2 linked regions of the Arabidopsis thaliana genome follow. The protein of the gene in region 2 interacts with the protein of the main gene of each other region in a pairwise test. Each region holds a gene or a part of one and is shown on either strand. Other genes may lie near its edges.

Region 1 (3,573 bases), on a different chromosome or scaffold from region 2:
CTTTGTAAGTTTGTTGTTTGGGAAGCTTAAAGCTTAGATTTTTGGGATATAAGTGTACATTGAAATGGTTGAAGATGTGTATGTTGTGAATTAGTTAAATGCTCTGCCACTTTAAGTTAGTGTTTCTTGCGGAATTGTGAGTAGTGACCTCTTACTTTTGTGTCTTTGAGGAACCATGGTCCCTTAGCTCTGTTGCATAAGCAGTTGTTGGTATCTCGCTTGACTTATTACTTCATTTGATAGCTAATAGTTTTGTTTAGTTGCTGAATTTGGTGTATGATAGATATTAAACCCTTCTGTTGCTATCATAACTGTATGATTTGTAATTTTGTTGATGGTTTTAAGTTTATATGTTGATGAGCAGGAGATGTTCATGGTCAGTTTCCAGACCTCTTGCGGTTGTTTGAGTATGGTGGTTATCCACCAGCTGCGAACTACTTGTTTCTTGGGGATTATGTTGATCGTGGTAAGCAGAGCATAGAGACGATATGCCTTCTTCTTGCCTATAAGGTCAAATACAAGTTCAACTTCTTTCTTCTCAGAGGCAATCACGAATGTGCTTCAATCAACCGTGTATATGGATTCTACGATGAATGCAAAAGAAGATATAATGTTCGCTTATGGAAAACATTCACCGAGTGCTTCAACTGTCTGCCTGTTTCTGCTCTCATTGATGATAAGATCCTCTGCATGCATGGTGGACTATCGCCTGATATTAAGAGCTTAGATGACATCAGGAGAATTCCTCGTCCTATTGACGTTCCTGATCAGGGCATTCTTTGTGATTTGTTGTGGGCTGATCCTGACAGAGAGATTCAAGGCTGGGGGGAGAATGACAGAGGTGTCTCTTATACATTTGGGGCTGACAAAGTAGCTGAGTTCCTTCAAACTCATGACCTTGATCTTATATGCCGAGCTCATCAGGTAAAGCTAAAATTTATTCCTTGAGTTCTCTCTTTTGATTTCTCTGGATTGGTTTGTTCTTCTCTGTGACTGTTCTCTGAATTCAGAGGGTTAAGAAATCATAACTCAGTTGTTAATGCAAGGATCTGTAGTTTTTTCACCAAGCCAAGTTTTACTTAACTATACTGTTCCTGCAGGTTGTAGAAGATGGATACGAGTTCTTTGCAAAGAGACAACTAGTGACAATATTCTCTGCACCCAATTACTGTGGCGAGTTTGACAATGCTGGTGCATTGATGAGTGTTGATGATAGCTTAACATGTTCATTCCAAATCCTTAAGGCATCTGAGAAGAAAGGAAGATTTGGATTCAACAACAATGTTCCTAGACCAGGAACCCCACCTCATAAGGTGTGAAAATACTATCCCCCTGTATATAGATGCAATGTAGGTAGATGTTAGATATCAGGTTTGATATGTTAACATTCTTGCAGGGTGGAAAAGGTCGTTAACTCGTCGTCGATGGGTTCAAGAAACGAGTGAAACCGACGGGTTCGAATTTTGTAAGGCAAACAGTTTGTTTTGTTAGATTGTTATCTGTTTTCTTATGGTTGAGGCAACATTATGTTTTGTTTAGATTTTTTTTGTAAAAATTGTGGAAGATGTTCACAGCATTTTCAACTGAAGAAAGTTGGGTTTTATACAACTAACCTTTTAGAAACATATTCTAAAAACATAAACGTAAAATTTATAAAAATAATAAAATGAAACTTGAAAAACAATTATCTTATTTGACGTAATATATACTATAAGCTAAATAATAAGAGAAGAGGTAACCTAGATTTGAGGATAGATACTGCTTTTATCTTCTTCACGCGTCGCCGACGCGTATGCTTGTTCCCGTAGGCACCAAGGCAATCTATATAAACATATTGAGTGAAGTTTCACAATCTTTCACCATCAATTCCACAATTCTGCTTCTTCTTTGTGTGTTATCTCTCTGTCGGAGAAAAAAAAAACCCTAGTTTCTTGCTTGGCGAATCAAGGCAAAATCACGATGAAGCAAGCTTCTTCTTCTTCGTCATGTAATCCAACAAGTTTAACAAACAGACTTAAAACAATCTTTAAGAAAGCAGAAGAGCTTTCGATTCTCTGTGCTATTGACGTTTGCGTCATCTATTACGGACCAGACGGTGATCTGAGAACATGGCCTAAGGATAGAGAGACAGTGAAAAATATGGCTTTGAGGTATAAAGAGGACAGAAAACGCAAGAAGTGCCTCAATCTTCATGAGTTCCTCGAGAAAGAGAAGGTGAAGGACAAAGACAAGTATAAGGGGAAGACGAATTATGTGAAGAACCCTAATTGGTATCCAAACTTTGATCATTACTCTCCTCAACAACTCTCTCAATTGATTCAGTCCTTAGAACGAACACTTTCTACTCTCCAAAAAAGGCTTCGTATTGTTGAGTCGCAGAAAAAACAGAACACAAACTTGGTGCATCAGAGTTTAACACCATCGTATCTGAACCAGACACAACACTTGGATCCTAGCAAGTTCTCGCTGTATATGTACAACCATGGAGATGCTACTCTCTCACAACTCCCACTGTCTGCTTCACAATCCAATCAACTCATCAATTACCAGATGCAGCATGGTTTTGGTCAGAACATGTGTTTGGACAACATCACCAACAACAACAACTTTCAACATCCTGGCGTGTCAAACACACAAGACTACTCACCGTTACTTTCGGCGAATAACTACGGGTTGAATAATCACTTGATGCAGCAACAGGATCAGCTTCATGGTTTTGATCAGAACTTGTGTATGATGAGTGAAATCATCAATAACAACAACGGTTTACAACATCCTAATCTCTCAAACACTGTTCCACATGAATTCCCTTATGGTAACACTAGCTTCTCTCAAGATATGTTTTCGAGCTATGATGGGAGCAGTTTGCTACAGACATCTTCTCTGCCACCTCTCCACAACATTCCTAACAGCTATTGTTTTTCTGACAACTCAAGACTTCTCTGCTAACAAATCTGTCCAAAAGGATTTGTTTTTTGAAGCTTCATTAAGAGTCAGTCAATACTTATAAGTAGGAAGCTGATCAGAGAGAGATTGAAGCTGTTTTTGCTTCTGAATTCTTCCTGCTACTGTCTTTTTTTATTTTACAGTGTTGTTATAACTGTAAAACAGATCCATTTGTGGAGATTTTGTTTTTACTTTTAAGTTGGTATTTCAGTTAGTATTATATATATATATATATATATATATATGAACTTCCATAAAAGTCTTTCACAAAAACTTGCATGAAACAAATTATAATCTAAAATCACTTATGGTGACAAGACTGTTTCAATTGGTTGATACAACCTGCAAAGTGAAATCCTTTACTCTTGCATCTTATAACAAACTTGTAACTTAGTATCCTTCTTGTCTGAATCAGCTAATATATACATGAAGATGGAAAGTAGCTCTGATTTCGTGAAGACAAATTCTCTGCACCCAATTACTGTGGCGAGTTTGACAATGCTGGTGCATTGATGAGTGTTGATGATAGCTTAACATGTTCATTTCAAATCCTTAAGGCATTTGAGAAGAAAGAAAGATTTGGATTCAACAACAGTGTTCCTAGACCAGGAACCCCAAAGGTGAAAA
Region 2 (3,708 bases):
CATTGCAATGCATGCATCGGAGTATGCAGGACATGCATGAATGAACATAATGTATGCAGGACATGCATGAATGAACATAATCTAGCTTTGATCACTTTGTATCATGTTGATCTTGGTCCCCACTCTGAGACTTTAAGAATGAAACAGAGGAACCTGAAGTTTATTCAGTGGCAATTTCTTTGTAGAATGTGTAAATGATACAATTGCATACCAGTTGGTTAACTCTATGTATATAATCGAAATTTCACCTGATTCTCTTATCATACTCATTGGTTAGCTACCAATTTTGCCATAAATTAAAGACATTTCCTTTTTTTTTATCCGATTAAGATTTATAAAAAGACATGAGTTTGTTGGACTTAAAACTACAAATACAAAACATAGAAACAGAACACAAATATTATCATTAAACCAAACTGATGAAGCAGAGAACCAGTTTGAGTTCGATCAATTTCCCTCATACATATATGGAAAACTGATCGAGGTCAAACCAGATCATTCATTACATTGCTAGAACAAATAAATCTCTAATAGAATCAATACATACAGATAACAAAGAGAAGTTGATTTGAAAACTGCAGAGAGATTATCTTCAAACTGCTGCAATAGTGTTTGCAAAGTCATTGAAACAATCAGAGAATCGTAGATTATCTCCATCCAAACATCTCTGAAACACCAAATCTGCATCTTCAAGGCTTTGAAAATAAGAAAACGGATTTGTATCCACCGAGACTTGATCATCAACACCAACATCGTTCAAAATACTTGCACTAGTCGTCTCCTGATGAGTAGTGTTGTCCGAAAACCAATCATCTATCGAGCTTTCAAAAGGGGTGTTGAAGTCAATGAGTTGATCAATAGCCATGTCTTGATTGTAATATAGGTTAACTTCAGGTAAAGCAGCGTTGTTGTTGTTGTTGTTGTTATTATCCGTAACACAAAAAGTTTCACAAATCGAGAGAATCTGATCTTGTTCTTCAGTGATTTCATTGAAAATTTCAGGTGATTTATCAGGGACGCAACAGATTGCAGAACTACTGGACTGAATATCTAGGGTTTGATTTGGCTCTTGAGTAATATCGTTGAGATTTTCAGGGATGCAACAAACTGCAGAAGCGGACTGAAAAATTAGGGTTTGATCTTGAGTTCCGTGAACATCGCTCTTCTCATTCTTCTTCAAGTCCTTGTGATCGTTAACGCAAGCTTCATCCGCACGCAACTCCTTGAGATTACTCAACAGAGTCCACATGGAACCGATCGCTTCACTAATCTCTTGAGGATTCTCCGATCTCACAAGGCTCTCGTCATTCCACCAAAACCCTAACCCTAGATTCTTGCGAGTCAAACAGATACCAACGTCCTCCCTCGTCTCTTTGTTATCCTTCGGAGCCGAAACAGGACGTTTTCCGGAGAGAAAAGCAGAGACAACGGCATCAACAGAGGAGTGACCGAAAGAGTAGAAAGAGACGTCGGATTCAGAAGAAGGAGGAGTCGCTAAGATAGCGATTTGTGCGTCGGAGAGAAGACAAAGCTGAGAGGCTTTGCTATAGAGACCTTTACGGCGTTTGGTGCAGGTAACCCTAAGGGAATCTCTCTTCTGTATCGTCTCAATCGCAATCTTTCTCTTCGTGCCTTTCACCATTCTGATTGATTTTTTTCTCAATTTTCAGATAATTGAAGTGAAGGCTTCTTCTATCTCTCAGTCTCATATATATAAGGGACTATCGAATCTCATATGAAAAAGGAAATATCGAAACCCCATATCATCCTCCTTAACCGATTAAACCACATGGACCGTAATATGGGCTAAGCCTAACCATCCACCAGAATCCCCTTTTTTTTTTTTTTTTCATCCTTTCTTATTTGCTTATGTACAAGCATAACATTATTGATGATAAATTATTCAAAGATGGACAAGAATAGATATATAATTTCAACTATGCTCTATGGACCTTCGCCACACAAAAACAAAAAAAAACAAAAAAAGAATTACCTAAGACTCTTTTTAATAGTTTAAAAACAAAATTTATAAAATAACTAAATTTTGCCTCCAAATTATTTATATTACTATTAATTTTATAAACAAATTTAGTATTTATTTATTAGTGTAGTATTTAATTAGAACGTTAGATAATTTATTTATTTTTATTTTGATAATTTTTAGTTATTTTCTTATCATTCATATTTATTTAGCGATATTTTTAGTTATTTTGTTTTATAATTATTTTCTTAGATTCTACAAAAAAAAAATTGTCAGATTATTATGAGAGACACAAACAAATATATAGTTGGTTCTTCACATTATCGTGTTTATTCTTTCTAATCACAAGATCAACAATGTAGTATCACTCTTAAAATGTGATTATGAAGTTAACAAAGCTTACATGGTAGCAGAAGAAAACATTGTTAACGACCGGAAGACTTACACTTTGCCACACTTTCTTTATTTTTCATAACAAAGAGATACTTTTGGAGAATTTCATCTTTTTTACTATTCAATATTAATCAATACTGTTTTGCCTCTGAAATAAAAATCTATGGGTGTGTGTCATTGTAATTCTCTCAAAATAAAAATAAAAATAGGCAAAGTAGACATAAACAAAAGATCTTTACTCTAATCAGTTTTGTGAGTGACACAAAGCTCCATTTTTTTACCCTTAAATCAAATTACTAATAATAATTAAAAAATCTTATAAAAATAATATTTCTGGCAAATCACTCTGGTTGACCTCAAACTCAAAGTCGAGTAATTGCCGATCTAAAACACAGGGGGTGATTCAGAAATCCCCAAAATTCGACTAAAAACTAAAACCCTAGCCCTAATTCATCCTGATTTTGATCGCCGTATAAAAGACTCGCATTTTCTGGGCTTAGTATGGCGGTTCCGGTGCTGGGTGGATTTCCGATCTTCATGGTAGTGAGAGTTTTGGGTTTCATCATCGCGGCTTTGGTTTTGACATGGACTGTTCATTACAGAGGAGGCTTAGCTCTTTCTTCTGATAACAAAGATCACATCTTTAATGTAATTCTCTCGATTGTTGTTTTGACTCACATGTGAAATGGATTGGATGAAATGTTCTTGTTGCTGTATCTGAGATTCATATTTCTTGATTGTGTTGTTGAGATATTGAAATTTGGATTTTACTTTTCTGTGTGATCACAAGCTATGATCTGAGACTCATATTTGGATGTATAATGTCATCATTGGTAGATATATATCTGATGATGTCAAATGTCTTTGTTTTTAGGTTCATCCAGTGATGATGGTGATTGGACTCATACTCTTCAATGGAGAAGGTAAGCAAACAATCTCCTTCACATGTTAAGAGTTTGTAGTATATTACCGTCTTAACTTCATATTTTAGACTTCAAATTTGTAGTATATTACCGTCTGGCGACTATTCTAATGTCAAGAGGTTTTAGTATTCGTTGTATCGGTTTTCATGTTCGATTTCCGCATACTTCATTTGTCAAAGAGACTGAACTGTTGAATTGCCCTTTTTAACATTTGAGTACATTGAAATTTTATGTCAAGAGGTTTAGGACTCATAGGATTAGTTTTTTTTGTTTTTAGTTACGGCATTGTTAATTCGGTAAAGAGACCATGGACATGTTTTCGTTTCTAACATGAACGGTACCTTCAACTTATGCAGCTATGTTAGCATATAAGTCAGTTCAAGGTACAAAGAACTTGAAAAAACTGGTTCA

Evidence for each region. Proteins that work in one complex are often made in the same cells at the same time.
Region 1: the proteins of AT5G38620 (region 2) and AGL52 interact in a two-hybrid assay, tested with the Arabidopsis thaliana proteins (one large-scale study listed by BioGRID).

Annotation. Positions count from the first base shown.
Region 1 is NC_003075.7:6,847,619-6,851,191, forward strand, and holds AGL52 (AGAMOUS-like 52), read left to right. Parts: upstream 1-1,959; coding exon 1,960-2,949; downstream 2,950-3,573. Other genes in the region: TOPP7 (Calcineurin-like metallo-phosphoesterase superfamily protein), read left to right, coding at 365-924, 1,101-1,313, 1,397-1,414.
Region 2 is NC_003076.8:15,463,266-15,466,973, forward strand, and holds AT5G38620 (MADS-box transcription factor family protein), read right to left. Parts: upstream 1,643-3,708; coding exon 593-1,642; downstream 1-592. Other genes in the region: CYB-1 (cytochrome B561-1), read left to right, coding at 2,876-3,022, 3,249-3,297, 3,654-3,708.